2 linked regions of the Lytechinus pictus genome follow. The protein of the gene in region 1 purifies or fractionates together with the protein of each later gene. This does not show direct contact. Links are inferred from orthologs where the notes say so. Each region holds a gene or a part of one and is shown in the gene's direction. Other genes may lie near its edges.

Region 1 (9,550 bases):
GAGGCATAAGCCCCTCATTTCCCTCTCCCTCTCACTTACACATTCACTGTCACTTGGGTCCAGCTCTCTCTCTCTCTCTCTTGTACTCTGCAGTATTGGACTCTGTGGGAGGAGCCAGACTCTTAAAAAAGAAAGTAGTTCTGGTTGTAATGTTAGGTTAGCCATATTCCTCTGTTGATTTCACCAACTCTGTGCTACTATGTTACAACATATCCTGTGATATTACATTTTCTGCATGCTGTAAAGCATGCTAAATTCAATGCAAAGTGACCCACCAATAAGTATAGTCTCAAAATAGAAGGAAAAAAAGTTTGTTTAAAAAACAAATTAAATATCCAGAAATAGTTATAGAACTTGACTTAGTCCTTATTGTAGGTAGATAAAACACTGCCAGTAGAATATATAGACTTAGTGTATATTTGAATTATAAAAGGGAGTTTGTGATAAGGGAATGCATTTCTACTACCTATTAAAAGCAGGTAGTGCCATGTGCCTCAAACCAAACAAAAAAAATACAAAAGCAAAAAATTAATAAAAGTGAATAGATGAAGTGATGAAGGCAAATAGAAAAAATGACTTAAAAACTCATAGCAAGTCGGGTAGAATAGCTGAGAAATGAATAAGCTTGTATTGTAAATACTGTACAAAGGCTGTTTCGTGTTTCTCTGTTTTGTGATACCAGTTCTATGTGGAGTAAGATTGCAGTTTGTCTCTATTTTTACATCGTATCTGGGTTCGGGAGATGTTTATTGATGAAGACTTTAGATTTTGGATGTGATGAATAGTTTCACGGTCCATATTATTGCCTTTATCATGTCAATGTGGTCACTCGAAAATGGGAAAAAGACCATATTGCTGTCTCGATAGAATTTTATATCAAATATTTTGCTTTCTTTTCAAATGTTTAATTGTCATCTCAAAAACTCATTTATTTTCATCATGACATAAAAAAAAGAATATTTGTATTAAGAGCAAAAAAGGATAATGAATTTTGAATGAAAAATACCTCCCCCTCTATACTATTATCTTTATTTCCATGTGATTATTTATTACTTTTTCCTGTTTATGTATTCATCGGTGGTACTTGCAATACTTTCTTCGTTCGTACGTGTTTTTGGAAACTCAGTAAAGTTGACAGGGTTGAGGTACCTTATCCCCATGTATTTAATTTTCAAATGTCAAAAGTATCTAGTGTTTGCTCAAAAAAGCAGCTGATGTACTGGTAGACTTATAAGATAAGTGATATTATTTATTGCTTTTGTTGTACCACCCCACGTTTCCCTTTTCCAAGAAATTTATGTTTTATTCTTTACATATAGATCTATTTCTCCCACTCCCCTGTCCGTACAAACATATCAAAACCAAAGAATATATTTTAAGAGATTGACTTTTGTAGTGTTAGACTTTTGGGGAGTTTATCAGTAGATTATCAGATTGGACAATCATGTTAACATTGATTATGACTTGTTACGGTACACAATTTTTCTTTTAAAAGGTAGTTCTGAAATACACTTTGTAAAAGATGCTCATCTCTGGAAAATGTGTTCCAAGAGGCATTCTCGTCATTTGTATTCTATGTTAGACTTCCGATTAAATACTTCGCCTGGTAATACAGGCCTTACTAGTCCTGGAATATTTCTGGCCTTTTTCTCTCAAAAAATAATATTCTTAGAGGAAAAAAATGAAATTCATTAACTATATAAAGCCTCTGTCTTGTCACTAAATACACTGTTAGTAGCATAACATTTTTGAAGCCTTGTGTGTGGTGTAACACAATTTTGCTGTATATAAATGCATATTTCGAATGAAGCGGGTGCTACATAGCTAATGATCCCTTTTACTCTCGGACTGCCTCTTGTAAACTTGCTGCATTGAAAAACAACACATTTTCCTTGTACATACCAACACTCCAACAGGAAGTGTAAAATTGTCCATATTGATTTAATTGTTAATGCTTTAAATGAATACTGATAGTATTCTTTTTAGGGGGGGGGAGTTGGGGAGCTTGAAATGTCAATCTCAATTGAACTGTATCAGTTAATGGTATTTTGAAAAATATAACACTGTATTTTTCTACAATTTATGGGATATGTATCGAGCGCTAAACTTGCTGCTATTCCGGTTAATTGTAGTTGGGGTTCTATGTTATGTAGCACCTTGCAAATGGGGGGGGGGGGGGGGGGGTCCGAGATGGAAAAAATGACCGATATATTTCATGATAGTGTTACTGTTGTATTTTTATTGTACATGGCATATAATGTCGGTATATACGCTTTGTTCATTTGTGTATTGTACATGAAGAGAGTAATCTATTGTTGTTCATATATAACTTATGGAATGAAATTGTTTATTTTGAAGGTTGGAACATTTTTATGCATTTCATTTTTGAAAAAAAAAGAGATATAAATGACTCTTTGTTTCTACTCCAGGCACAGTGACTTTTATGAATCCCCAGTGATATAAGGGGTAAAAGGAAAACCAAAAAAAAAATGTATTTAATCAAGAAATGATAAATTCCATTACTGTAATCTTATTTATATACCCAAAACAGGGACTGCATTGTATTACTGTAAAGAGATTATATCATTCCATTGAAATTCATTCATTATCTGTCAAAATTATTATTTAACTTAAAAAGCATGTATAATACTGCACAAAATATATGTATGGTTCTGGATTTTTTTTTATCTTGCTAAAGTTATAGATTGGCATGCATAAATTAACAGTGACATAAATAAAGTGCATAATTGTATACTAGACAAGAGTATAAATTATGCTTTTTTTAATGTTATTGAACTGACCAGTCCGTCTTTATATAAATATTTGTAGGCGTTAAACTGCACTAGTTCAACACAGAAATCTCAACAGAAAAAAAATACTTTTAATGAAAACCAATTTTCCCACATTTGTCTTTTAAGTTTGAAATTGTTTGATATATAACTCCTTTTACCTAGTTGTAATTTTACATTCCAGAATTAATATATTTGATGCCAATTTTGATTCTGTATGGTATTAACCAAAATCCCTATGCCCTGCACGCAGTTATCCACATATATACCCTGTTACATAGTCCTATTGCAAAATATGCAAATGACCGTATAACTTTTGAAATGTTTTAGTACATTTATTTCTCCCAAAAGCCCTTACAGGTTCTCTGTGTGCTGGATGTAATATTGTGTCGACATTTTGTGTTACAACAACATCTGACAAAATAAAATGATAAAAAAAATCATAAATTGTACAAAACGATATCTGTTTTACCCTGTGTCCATGTATTTGTTAATTGTTTTGATGTGTTGGAAGCGAGCAGGATGTTGGGCAAGAAGGAAGGAGAAATAGGAATAATGTGGAAGAGAAAATGGGGGAAAGTGAGTAGGAAGAGGTAAAAGTGGAGAACAACGAACGAGAGAGAAGAATGGGAAAAACAGAGAAAAGATAAAAAATGAGAGGACGAAGGGAAAAATTAGAATGATGAAATAGAAGAATAAAACAAGAAGGGAGAGAGGGGAGAAGAAAAGATGAAATGAGAAGGAAATTAAAAGTGAGAAAAAGGGTGGGAATTGTACCGAGTAGAGAAATTGAAACATAAGATGCGAGAAACGGTGAAGAAAACGAAATGGGAAGAGGAAGAGTTAGAGAAGAAAAATGGGAAGAGAGACGAAAAGAAAATGGAGAAAAGAGGGGAGGAAGAAAGAGTGAAGAGAAGAAAATTAAGACGAGAATAGAGGGAAATAATAGCTGTCTTTGAGAAATTTTTTTTTTGTGGGGTTGTCTATTTTTTTTTTTTGGGGGGGGGGTTGTCTATTTTGTTTCATTCAGGCATACCTTTTCCACATACATGTATTTTCCGAAATTGACAACTTTGACATGTAACCAAAAAATGTACAATAAATTTTACGATCGTGCATAACATTAATACCGTAAAGGTCTCAGGCAAGCCATGTACAAATACAGTCATGGAAACAAAATGATCTTCAAAATATGTACATAAAATTTAATCAAACTGCATGTATGTACTTGTAAAGACATTGGACAATGGGTAATTAAAAGGGTCGGAACTTAGTGTAATAATTAATGAGTAAAATGTAGTTATCTACTTTTGTTTTCATTTCTGTCTTCCATAGATATGATAGAAATTTCGCTGAAGTCAGTGAGAAATTTATTACCGAAATTTCTGGCTGAGCAAGCTGTTGCACAATGAACAGAGATGGCGCTAAAGCAGAAATTCTTTCATCAGCCATTGAATTAAATTGTTTTTTTTTTTTCAATCAAATTAGATAAAGTTTATTTGGAAAGATATTGATGATGGCCATCACTTTCGCCTCTTTTAGGTTTCGGTAATCCCCAAAGTTTTGTTCAATATTTATTTCTGCAATTTGTTTGTCCTATAATTGTTATGGGGTGAATGATAATTATAAAAAGGGGCATTTTAGTGAATGAATTTGCGTTTTTATAATGATCATTTTATTTCGACGAGGAACCCAATAAAAGAACAAAGACCGAACTATTTTACATCCGATTTTGATGATTTTTTCAGCGTTATGCTTGATTTGATTCAAATCAACGTTTTTCTGTCACAGTGGTGGACGTAACCTTTATAATGCATGAGATTTTAGAATTTTCCCCCTAAATAGTTGTCGCTCAGCTCGAGTTCAACACTTTGGTGGTGCTCAATTCGTGAAATGATCCATTTATTTTTCTTATTGTAGCTTGTTTTTCTTTTGCTTTTCTGAGAACTTGACTTTGTATTATCGCAGCATAGCGAATCCATGGGACCAAAGTGGCCACATGGCGAGGCCTAATAAGTCACAGAAATAGGGAGATGGGTAAAAAGGGTGAACAAATGGAAAAGTAAAGAAATGGGTGGGGCCGGGGCTCAGGGAAGAATCGCTCTTCACACTCTCTTTGATTGTTAATTAGACCCTGTTCTTAAGTTGGTTCAGAAAATGGTTCTGCTCGCGCTTTAGTGAGGTATGCATCCTGTTCAGTTACAAAAAGTGCTCAAGACATGATTGTCCCGTTTACAGGTTTTCAGGTCAGCCGCGCTGGGCGCCAGTCCTTAAAGGTCAAGTCCATCCCAGAAAAATTTTGATTAGAATAAATAGAGAAAAATAAACCAGCATAACGCTGAAAATTTCATCAAAATCGGATGTAAAATAAGAAAGTTATGGCATTTTAATAAAGTTTCGCTTGTATTTCACAAAACAGTGATATGCACAACTCAGTGTCATGCGAATGAGTCAGTCGATGATGTCTATCACTCACTATTTCTTTTGTTTTTATTATTTGAATTATAAAATAATTATATACAATATTTCATTTTCACAGATTTGACAATAATGACCAAGTTTACTGAACCTTGCTAATTCCACATGTTCAGGGAGGAATTGTATAATCGTTGTTTCACTTGACAATGAGGAGAACATTAGAATATATCATTATAATAAAATACAAAAGAAATAGTGAGTGGATGACGTCATCAGTCTCCTCTTTTGCATACCGAACAGGTTGTGCATATAACTGTTTTGTGAAACTAAGTGAAACTTTAAAATGTCATAACTTTCTTATTTTACATCTGATTTTGATGAAATTTTCAGTGTTTTGCTTGTTGGATTTTTCTCTTTTTATTCAATTAAATCAACTTTTGGTTGGGGTGGACTTGTCCTTTAATTTGCACTAGATTCAAGCATGATACCTATTCTTTATAATAGGCCTACCCCCCCCCCCCCCTTGATCCAAAAGTTATTACTAGGCCTACCGATACATTTTTTTTTTTGGGGGGGGGGAGGAAAATGCGACGATTTCTTCTTATATTTTTTGGTGGTCGCTTCATGCAGACACAGGGGATCTCGGATAGGGACTTAAAAATTGGGTTTGTGGTACCAGGCCGTACATAATAATGTCAATTGCTTTATACCTAAATAATGATGACCGATGGGGTCCGATGACCACACCCATTGGCCGCGCCCTATAACGTTCGATACCGGTACTTGTACTAGTTCCTCGACGCGACATACACCGCGCGCTCGCTTAGCGCGGCGCGGCGCCGCTGCACTCTTAGCGTTGTTTTCGCCATGTTGGGATAGGCAGGGCGAAAAGCTTCCGGGGATTCGCTTTCCAGTTTCCAGCGATGGCTGTTCATACTTTCATGTGACAATATATTTGGTAAGCTTATCTATCCAAATATTTGGGTTGATGTTTTTCGTTCTGATTCACCAAAAATCTTTTTCCATACGTTATGAAAAGAAAACATTTATTTCCATCAAAATAATGAGAACAGTCCCAGACGTGCAATTTTGTGTGGTGTTCTGAATAAACTTGTGTTGCATTGCCATTGTTTTTCAGAAAGCATAAACTTGTTATTATTATACTCTTGCTCACTTGCTTAGTCTTCATAAGTTAGACTCAGAGTCTGCATTTTAAGTTTTGATATCCCAATTCACTATAGCTTTAATGAGGAGAAAAATTTATAATCAAGGATTCAAGAAGACAAGATGCTTAGTCTTCATAAGTTAGACAATGTAGTAAAGACAAAAGACGGAACATCTATATTACTAAACCAATCCTGAAACTTTCTAAGAAAAAAGCACGAAACTGGAAACGCTATACCAAAAGTGTTTATAGAAATGAAGACGAGAAACAAGCAGACTTAAATTCATATAAGAAGGCAAGAAATGAGCTAAGAAAGGCAACAAGAGCAGCCAGTCGTAACTTTGTCTTTGAAGATGACCTAGTGGAAAGTATCAACTTTAATCCTAAGGCTTTTTGGAGGTACGCAAATAGTAAGATTAAAGGTAGAAGTCAGATAGGAAGTCTTAGAAGAGATGATGGATCTCTAGTAGAAACTGATAAGGAAAAGGCAGATGTCCTTAACAAATACTTTTGTGAAGTATTTACTGTTGAAGACTTACAAAACTTTCCAGATTATGTGACCGGAGTAGACGCTGATATACCTTGTATGGAAAAGTTAGGATTTGAAACATCAGATGTGACAAAAATGATCAAAACCTTAAATGTGAATAAATCAGCTGGCCCAGACGGGATCCATCCTAAAGTGCTGAAGGAGTTGGGTGAAGTTATTGCAGAACCACTATCTATCATATTCAACAAGTCAATGCATGAAGGTAAAATTCCAGCTGACTGGAAAAAGGGAATTGTAATTCCTCTTCCCAAGAAAGGAACTAGAACACAGATTTCTAACTACAGACCGGTGAGTCTTACATCGATAGCAGGAAAACTAATGGAAAAGATTGTGAGGAATGCTGTAGTGGATCATTTGCAAAATAATCAATTGTTGTATTATAACCAACATGGATTCATCCCAGGACGGTCATGTTCCACACAACTTCTGTATGTGCTTGAAGAATGGACGCAGATGCTTGATGAAGGGAAGCCAATCGATGTTTTGTACTTAGATTTTCGCAAAGCATTTGACAGTGTTCCCCATGAAAGGCTACTACGTAAACTAGAGAGACACGGAATTACGGGCCAACTTCTTATCTGGATGCGAGAATTTTTGACAGGAAGAGTTCAGCGTGTACGAGTAAACAGGGAACTATCTCCATGGTCTCCAGTATCAAGCGGAATACCGCAAGGGAGTGTTCTCGGACCTATTCTCTTCCTAGTCTTTATCAATGACCTATCATCTGCTGTCAACAAGAGTAATGTTGCTTTATTTGCCGACGACACCAAACTTTACAATATAGTGAGTGACTTATCAAAGATCAAAGATCTTCAAGAAGACCTGGATAGACTACAATTATGGTCAGCGAAATGGCAGTTACCTTTCAATAGCAGTAAATGTAAAGTTCTACACATCGGAAGGAATAATCCAGAAGCAAAATTTTATATGCTGGAACAAGAAGTGAAGTCAGTAGCTACTGAAAAGGATCTTGGGGTAACAGTTGATAATCAATTGAAATTTCATCAGCATGTGTCTCTAGCTGTTAATAAGGCATACCAACTGCTTGGAATCGTAAAGAGAACTTTCACTCAACTAAACAAATCTACCTTGCCCATTCTCTTCAAGACATTAATTAGACCACATCTGGAATATGGGAGCGTCATCTGGAACGGTAGATTTACAGAACATGCCAAGAAGGTTGAGAGAGTACAGAGACGAGCAACAAAACTAGTGAAGGACTTGAGAAACGTACCGTATGAAAGGAGACTCAGGGAACTTAACATGTACTCACTCTATTATAGAAGGAGGAGAGGAGATATGATAATGGTCCACCAGATTATGCATGGATTGGTCAACATTTCTCCAGACCATTTCTTCTCCAAGTCTGGTAGTAACTCTACAAGAGGTCACTCCATGAAATTATTGAAATCCCATAGCAAACTGGATGTGAGAAATAAGTCTTTCAGTAGAAGAGTCATCAATGACTGGAATAGTCTTCCTGAAAACCTAATACAAATGCCAACAACAGACAAATTTAAAAGAAATATTGATATTTTTTGGCAAAAAAAACACTTTGAGCTTCCATGACTCCTCACGCAAGCTCATGAAGTAGTAGTTTTCAGTGACCAATCATACAAGAAACGACCGGGAATTACAGGCTTGCGCCTTCATCCCGTACCAGATGATGATGATGAAGATGAGGATGAGCCATGAGCATGATGAGGGTCACTCTAGGCGACACCCCAATACTTACCCGTGCTAATAAACTGGGACTCCACTCACGCGCATTTGGGCCGCCCTAGCTTAGAACTAAGCTTTGTTTTACTAAAAAATAAATCTTCTTATGATTCAATAAATGTTACTTAATAAATTAGTACTGTTAAATCGGTACTCACCGGTTCTTTTCTTGAATTTTCTGGCAATTTCCCACGCTTCTGGCTTCAATTCTGCGGCTGTTCCTGTCGCGGTAGACAGCTACATATGCAACTTTATTTATAAATGGAGCGCCCCTTACGAGAGTTGTTAATGCCGCGGAGAAATCGTTAGGCATTTTTGCCTGTGTTCAAGGCGTAGCTGTTCTATTTTTTTTTTTATAGGTATGAGATCGAAATCACAGCGAACTCGTATTTACACTCTTCCATAATGATTCCGAAAGAGAGGCGCATCACCCCCACCCACATGGGCGCAAATCCCAGGGGGACATGTCCCCCTCACCCAAAATAGTCGGGGGCCGGGGCACATTATGAAATGCCCCTCTACTATTTTTGGTCTTTTAATTCAAAATCGAAATAAAACATGTATTTTGGAAGAGACGAGCTTACTTTTGGGGTGCCCTTTTTTTTTTTTTTGGGGGGGGGGGCTTGTTTGCTTGTCAAATTTCTTTTGGTCAAGATGACCTTCTTTAAATTGGGGTGATAAACCTTTTTCTTTAGTTTGCTTGTCAAATTTTCCAGCCCCTAGTCCCCCTACCTTTCGGGAGAGATTTCCGCCCTTGCCTACCCGGACTACTCTTGATATTGTTTGCGAATCTGCACGGGCGTCGGGGGCTGGGGGATGAGGAAAAGTAGTGAGACGAGAAAAAAATAGAAGGGAAAAGAGGACAGAAATAAAGTAAACGAAAGATAAATTAATGGAAAATAAAAGGGA
Region 2 (8,874 bases), on another chromosome or scaffold:
TAATAACAGACTCGTTTACAGACTTGGCAGAACAAGAATTTCTAAGGGTTCAATCTTGGAGATTGAATGAGCGTATTGCAGATTGTAGTTATATTCACTCTGAAACAGGATCATGCACACAATTGAAGAAATCATGCTTTGCATAGTCAATGTTGCGTTTGTCCCCAACCATTTATATTACAATTTTGATTACTTTATTATACTACACATTACGTGCCTAGCTTGGAACTTTAGATATAGCACTTCAAGCAGTTTTCAAAAGTGTAGTTCTGAATTCATAGTATCCACTGTATCTTAAACTAAAAGGACATTCAAGAAGACAATAAGAAGACATTCAACTGACAGCTAAACGCTACATCATGTGGGAAATGTCAAATTCTCAGTGCCATGTACTAGAACCCTACTCTCTCTAAAAACATGTAAAAAGAGCAAAATTAATTGAAAGATAAATTTTCCAGTATGCCAAATTCACATCAAATATGAATAAGATACAAATTCATTCAATGCAGATTTAGATATTCTTTATTTGTTTATCCCACTTTCAGGTACCCCCTTATTTATTTCCTTTCTATCTGTACTTCTTTTTCCTTCCTCATCTCCCCTCTTCTTCATATTTCCTCTACTTTAATTTTCTACATGTATGTTCCTTCTTTATTGCCTCATGCTGATCTTTTTCCTATTTTTGTACCAAGATTTATATACAGTGAATATACAGTAATAATGAATTTTCCTCCTCTTTTACGTATTTGTATCTACATGTAGTTGTGCTCTTTTTCATGTGCGTGCTATTTTTTCATGTGTATACCATTTTTATATTGCCAATAATCCAACTCTCACTAATTTGCAATGAATGAATTTTAATACATTAAAGTAATTTCACATATTTCCTTTTCACCATTATGAACTTGAAGCAAAATAAATATAGAATTACACATCTCAAAGCAAGATGTTGATGAATATGCATTTAACAATTCCAGGAGGGCCTCAATGATACATCAATTGAGCGGAAATTCAGCCATTTCTAGTCTAGTCTCCAATTAATAATATCACAGCTTCATTCACATTTTTCTAGTGTAATTGTAAGTGCTGAAGAACATCAATTTCCTATTCAGAAAAAAAAGCAAAGATCACAAATATCCGACTCCAGAATGTGATGGAAGTAATGTGAAAAGAACATTCTTTCTGTCCTGGTGAATCATTGCTGCCATCGCCCCATGCTCCTAAATTACATTTTGAGGATTTTGGCACTGACTGGAGCCTCCTCTAAGTGGCACTTGAATGAAACCAGAGACGACAGTTCGCCTTTTAAAGGAGCAAATGGGAAGAAATTGAGTAACAGGTTGGAACGAAGTCTATCATTAATGTGAGGTGTTTACGTTAGAGTTGGCCCCGCTGGCCTGGAGGGTATGAATTAACAGTTCACTGTTGCAGTTGCTCAGGGTACGATTTTAGTTGCTATGGGTTACTCTTTAAGTGTTGTCGATAGTTTCCTGTAATAATGCATGGGCTACAGATGTTACCAATGTACATTAGGAGAGATTAGTACCGTAAGAATGGGTCTCGGCCTGTACAGTGAACTCTGCTAAAACGGGAGAAATATTAATTTCACTGACAAATTTGGCATTTGATCTTTGTCAATGGAATCACTGACTGCTCTATTGTACAGGTTGTAATGGATATATTCGAAAGCGGGTTAAATTTACATTCTGTCTGGTGACTAATAGTTCTACACCAGTTGCAAAAACTATGAGAGAACAAGGCAGTATGTGTACTGTATCCAATTTGTTACTAACTAGTGTTATAAGCTGTTGAATATAGTGAATGATGTGACAATGTGCAGCTCTAGGTCAAAAATTTAGCAAAGGCTTTCCATTTTTCTAAAGAAATTACATTATTAAGGCAATATAGTATTAATAATGACAGTCTTCTTCAAGATTTATTTCATTAGAAATAATATTATCATTTGATAGCTTAAAAGTTTTTTCCCCCATAATATTCACTGCTATGCATATACATGTATTATTGAAAAAAAAAAAAAAAATCACATTTTTGTTTAGTATAATGGAAAATTAATATTGTACTTAGTAGTATCAAAATCCAATCAAAGTAAATTTTAAAGAAAATAATAATCTAGGATGGCAAGTACATTAATCATTAGGAAAACAATATCAGTTAACATAGATGGTAAAATTCTCAATTCCACTGCACAATACCGTTTGGCCACTGAGATGGTGCTTTTGGTGACTTTCGAAACAAGCTACCAAAACTACAGTACATTGCAAATCACAAAGGGAGGAACACTAGTGCACTGAATGCACTCTTGGGATACAAGCAGATTCATCATATCTACCTATTCATATACCTTTATAAGTCTGTTCTTCAAAACAGATTCAATGTTATTATGAATAAATCAACCAATGCCTATGGTATTAAATTGTTGCATGAAAATAAAAATCACTCATGTTGACAAGGGGTGGATTGCTAACTAGCCATACTAGTCGTATTACACTGTATTATGGTAAAGTGGAATTGGTAGTCATTTATTATTCATTCACAGATCAGTAATTCATTAACCATTATCCTTGAATAAAGTAATGGATAATTTCTGCATATTACTGCCATAGATTAATTTGTCCCTTTTCCAGGAATTGCAGCCTGATATTCTTGTATTCACTACTAATCATTATATGTTATGTTACATACTGTACAGGGACAAACAGCAAATTGTTCATTGCTACCTCTTTAAAAATCTGTTAAAAATAAGCCTGAAGAGAGACTTTGCAAAGCAACTATTATTATTTAAGTTAAAAAATCCATGTGACTTAGACCTATGGTATTTAAAATGCAAACTTGAATCATTTATCATAACACATACTATCATTTTCAGATATTACAAACTTACATGTATCAATATTATCATTGAATTATCTACATCATCATAATCATTTTCCAAATGTTACCATAATTATCTTTCATTAATGAATTATAACTGTAATTATAATAAATATTTTTTCTATTATAATTATTGTGACCATCATTATTATCAGATATTGTTGTTAGTTATCATTATTATATCATCATAAATTATTTATAATTGTCATTTTATCATTATTATCACTATCATTATCACAAATCACAATTATTGTTTTGATAATTACTAATATTATTATCATTATCAAAATTATGATTACTGTTATCATTAATTTTATAGTTATTTTTATCAATATCATTATTATTATTATCATTATCATTATAAATCAATGCAATAATCATCACCATCACCAACATCATCATAATCATCATCACCATTACCATTGCCAACATCCTCCTCCTCTTTATCATCATCATCACCATCATCATCATGCATCATCATATTCATCATAATCACCATCATCATCACCATCATCATCACCATCACCACCACCATCACCACCACCATCATCATTACCATCACCACCACCATCACCACCACCACCATCATCACCAACATAACACCACCCTCCTCTTCATCCTCACTGTGATATACATGTACAACTAGGGGGTAATAATAAATGGTCAACTTATTTCTTCCCCTAAAGATAAACCTAAGAAAGTGGATAATCAAAGATTTTAATACTTGAATAAAAAAAACCCCAACACATTATTGGTACAGGCCTACCTAGTGATATATATTTTTTATTGTATAAACCTTACTGTTTCACTTCCTAAAAGTTTTTAGACCCTATATAGTTGTTCCACTTCCTAAAAAAAGTTGAAGTAGGTCCATCTAAAATCAATTTTTTCAAAAAGTTTTTTTTTTTTTTTTTTTTTTAAAGATTGTTCTGTGGGCCTGATGTTGCCATCATAAAATGGTGAAAAGCGGCCCATGACTTTAAATTAAAAGTAGTCTACAAGATTTTTTTTAGAGAACAAAAAAGAACAAGACAAAACCAAGTTTTACAATAAGTTCAATAACATCACTGATTTAATCAGTTTAGATAAAGAACTACATGTAAATCAAACACATACTTACATAAAGCCCGGTTGACAAAAAATATGGAAAATATATATCTCCTTTCAGTTTCTTAGAGCTATTTATCCATCATCAGTTCACTTCCAATTTCCATTTCTTGGAATTGTCAATGCAGTCAGGCCATGAGCTAGCTTTGTCTCTCAAATCGACTTGATGATATTGAAGTGCAGAAGCAAAAAAAAGCAGAACAGTGTAGATTTTGCCTGAGATTTATCAACTCAACAAGAGTTAAGAGGAGTTCAGCGCCAAAGGCAAGTTTCAAACACCTACTGTAATTTGTATGTTCGCCGCTGCTAAAACGATCCAGCGGGTGTCTGAAAGATACGTGAACCGACCAATTCGGGTGTCCGTCGATGTACAATCCGTAGATAATAATGTCAGTACCCTCGAGATCAAGTAGAGAAATTTACAAATCACTGGCTGCATTATCACGGTTCAATAAAACAGATACATATTGATGCGATTTACTCCTCATATTAGCCAATCAGGACTCTCTCTTAAAGTTTGTGTCCATCCTCTATCAGTCATAGCTTAGGCGACAATAGAGTCTGTCGAGCGTGAGCGAGCAGCCGCAAAAATCGAGAAATGAAGGATGGGTGATCGGAAGCGTGAGCTGGCGCTGATGCACTTTGACAAAGCTCTTCGGAATTTCTCCCCGAAGCTTGTCCGCATGAAGAAGGAGGAAACCCGGAAGTTTCGAGCTCTACTCACGGAAAACAAAACACAGTTCTTCTGATTTACCCATGACATTAACATTAACAACTAACAATTAATAATTTTTCGAGTATAAAATATACTAAAATATCTATAAAATAAAAATTATTCTTCAATAATTTGTTAATTCTCCTTTTAAGAGCAAATTCAGTTTTAATATATGATTTTACGATTAATACCACTGCGCGTTGACATCAAAATTGGCACTCATTTTCCAAAATGTCTCGATCAATGCCTCAATCAACTGTCCGGAATCAAATTCAAGAGGACTGGGCAAACAGGGAGTACATCGAAATTATAACAACCAATATAAAAAAGATAGCAGATTTCCTCAACTCTTTTGGTGAGTCTAATTGTATTTTTTGGTGATGAAATCATTAAAAGTGTGGGCGTGTGTGGGAAATGGGAGTGACTTCGTGTTGCCCCACTCGTAGGATTCTTTGTGTGCTATTTGTATTTAGTTTGCACATCTGGTGAAATCGACCGAATCTTTTAATTTTAACTTAAATTTGATAACGGGCTGTATCAACGTTTCAATTAATACAAAAATTATTGCTATATTTCAGAGAAGTGATTCATGGTAGATTATATATGAATACATTTTCAAACACTTCTTTCTATATTCTATTTTTACTTCTAGTTTCTAGATCAATTCATATCATATGCGTAACGTAACGGTGAATTTCATTTTCAAGTTGATTTTTGTACATTTCGCCTTTCGGCCTCAAATGATAATATTTCAATACTTTCGATAAAACATACAAATATGAATATAAATCAATAAGGATACATTCATGCATTTTTGGTTTGTACGAAGTAATGCATACAAAAAATAGGTACAGGTACGTTGCATAATTATAAGAAAAGGTAAGTAAAGAAAATATGGTTACACTTCGTAATTACGAAGGTTCGTAATTCCGAAGGTTCTTTATTCTGATGGTTCGTAAGTCCGAAACACGTAAATTGCCTATACCTCGATGTTCGTTAATCCGAAAACGTAAAAGGGTTCGTTAATCCGAACATTTGTGGCGTTATTCGGAAGGTTCGATAATCCGAAAACGAAATAAGGTTCGTTAGTCCGAAAACGAAATAAGGCTCGTTAATCATTAGTTTTCGGACTAACGAACCTTCGGAATTACGAACCTCATTTCGTTTTCAGACTAACGAACCTTCGGAATTACGAACCTTCGGAAATACGAACCTTCGGAATACGAATGTATGCGGAAAATATAATAGCGGTATAAACTAAACTAAACAAAAATAAATCCCAATCGTTTTAGGCAGTGACTAGAAGTAAATAATGGCATAACACATTTCCATTTTCTTTGATGGAGATTTAGCAATATGCATACAAAGAAAATAAAATTCTTTTAAAATAAAATGCTTGGCTTATTACTATTTATACTTGTGTAAATACATCTTTTTGCAAGAATAAGTAAGATATGATTCTTTATCTTTTTCTAGAAATCCTACAATTATGGTCTGTTCGTTCAGAGTAGAAAATCAAACATTGATAAATTCGTTCCAAAATGTTTGTACGTACATGTACATTGTAGCTATAATGCCATAGTGCCTGCTCTAAAGTTTCATAATCTTTAGACATCCCAAAGAGCATTCTGGCGAATCTTCTATTTTCATTTTAAACAAGTTATAATTAAAAAAATATAGATTATTTAGGACTTTAAACTGAAATTCTCTAGTTCTTGTATCAATGGATGTACATGTATTTAATGTTATTTTTCTAACTTTAAATAATACAAGGCTCGACATTAGCGGTGGCCACCAAAAATTCACCTCGGGCAACCATTATTGATAAAATGTTAAGTTTTGGTGGCCCGAATCGGGCAACCAATAATTTTCAAAGTAGCGCAATTTTTCTCCCAATTTTGCACGCATTTATCAACTTTCTACAGCTCAAATTGCAAGCCAGTTCGTCATGCGCCCTTTTTGTTGATCTACACACAAATACACACACACAAAGTTTGCATATTAGGCCTACAGCTATAGCATACAGTAGCTATTATCCAGCCAGCCACGCCGGCCGGCTGGCGTGAGCTTTGCATGAAGCCACTGCATACAGCTGTGCTCTAGATCTAGCTCAGCCTATTCAGACTCAGGGAGCTGCGATAAAAAATGTTGCTGCTGAGAAATCTTCCACAGAACTTTGAAAATCTAAGTCAAAGTCACCTTTTACACCAATGAAATGCAATTCTACAGTCTTTATTACGAAAATCTGGTGTACCCTGATTATTTGCAAGTATTAAGAAGAGGAATTATGACCTCTCTTTTGACTCAAAAAGACAGATTTCCACATGAATTAATACACATAAAAACACATAGGCAAGTACATCACAGTCCCACGTGTGCATTTGTATGTATGTTGATACTTGGTTTCTTTCGAAGCTGTGTATTTTCTAGCCTTAAACAAACAGACAGTTTCTTTCTTTCTTGTTTATAAATGACTTCTTAAACTACTCTTGAGAAAGCAAATACTTTGGGAAGGCATTTCATTGACATGAAATGTGATTTTTTTTCCCAACATTTTGGCAAATATAGGGAAGGACTTTTCTCACACTTTTTTTCCAGATATAGTTTTTGCCGTTTTCTTTTTTTTTCTCCTTTTTTTTTGACAGTGGTTAAACCATTTATACTCCTTCCTATTGAATATGCCTGATATAAAAATAGAAATGTGCCATTCCCAAAAGGCAAGTGAAAATTATTTGCTTGGATTTTAATTATATTCCAGTCAGAATAGACTGTTGCCACAGCTGTTAAAAAATATATGTAATGGCTTCTTAATTTTCCCCTTTTCCCCATTTTTATATTAACTTTGTTTTATTAATTTTTCTTTTCTTTCATTTTCTTTTCTTTTTTCTCTCTGATTTTTTTCTTTTCTTTTTTATCTTTTTTTCCCTGTTCTTTGTTTTTTTCTTTCTTCATTTTCTTTCTTTTGTTTTATTTCACTAATTTCTTTTATTATTTTTGTTTTCTTTTTGTTATATACTTTTTGAAAATTATTTTCGTTTGTTTCCCCCTTTCATGCATTATTCTAATTTTGCAGCATATTTTTCTGTGATTTTCTCCTTCTATAATATGCTGCAAAAGAGAAAACAGAAATAAACTGGATTTGGGGCATGCATAATCTAGGTTTTAGGATTCAAAGTGGAAGGAAGGAAAAACCATTGTTTTGTACATCTATCTGAGTTTGCTATGAACTATTTATTTACTTTACCATTATCTCTATACAGAGATTTAAAAAAAGTCCACACAACCTGCGAACAATACAATTCATTTATTCACTTTCAATCATTTCATTTTTACGACGATAGAAACAATTATCAATTAGCAAAGTAAAATAACAGCAAACAAGGTTTACATACAAGATGTATAAAGTGAAAGTAACTTAGTGGTAGTGGCTGCAGAATTAATATTTCAGAAATTTGTTTTATTCATTTTTAATGTTTGTCTTTATATTTTTCGGGCCACCAAACTTTAATATCGGGCCACCAAAAAAAATTATTTGATGGTTTTGGTGGCCCGAACGGGCCACCACCAAAAAAAGTTAATGTGGAGCCTTGAATAATACAAAATCGCTTAATCTGTACTTACCCTTTAATCGAAAAGAACTTCTCTGAAAGGATTGGGCATTACAATATCGTCTTTTAGAAAATTAATTTCATCTACCTGAAATTGAATAACATTTTGATCCCTTTTCCTTTCTGTTATTTCAAGTCATAACGTTTTAAAGAGGCATCTGATGACATAATGTGATGCCTCGTTATAACCCCCTTAATATCAAATAGGTGTTGAGAAAAAAATGATTCTTTTGTTGAGTTGAATCTTAGAATGTTGAGGAACAGATCAATTGCCAGTCTTCCAATACAGAAATATAAAAACAATGATAAAAACAATGTACATGTAGCTGTGAATGTAATACATTACTTTCAAAATTACAGTCAAGGAGAAATCTACTGCCAGCTTTCCGTGTATAAAATTTTAAAATATTAAACCAAGCTTGGTTGCTTCCACTTTTCAATCGTCAAATCCACATTAGCTGCTAAGCAGAAATTTCTGATATCATCTACCATTTCGAGTCTGCCCTCTTCAATTTGTTGAATAAGCGCATTTCTCCTGATTTTATCTTTCCC

Evidence for each region.
Region 2: the proteins of cytoplasmic FMR1-interacting protein 1 homolog (region 1) and protein BRICK1-like purify together in Drosophila melanogaster (affinity purification with western blotting; 4 studies listed by BioGRID). This does not show direct contact. The link is inferred for Lytechinus pictus from reciprocal best matches to the Drosophila melanogaster genes Cyfip and HSPC300.

Annotation. Positions count from the first base shown.
Region 1 is NC_087249.1:49,436,099-49,445,648, reverse strand, and holds the start of cytoplasmic FMR1-interacting protein 1 homolog, read left to right. Parts: upstream 1-6,017; 5' UTR 6,018-6,165; intron 6,166-9,550. UniProt on the Drosophila melanogaster protein: Plays a role in guidance and morphology of central and peripheral axons and in synaptic morphology. Also required for formation of cell membrane protrusions and for bristle development.
Region 2 is NC_087247.1:5,996,585-6,005,458, reverse strand, and holds the start of protein BRICK1-like, read left to right. Parts: upstream 1-4,899; 5' UTR 4,900-4,945; coding exon 4,946-5,069; intron 5,070-8,874.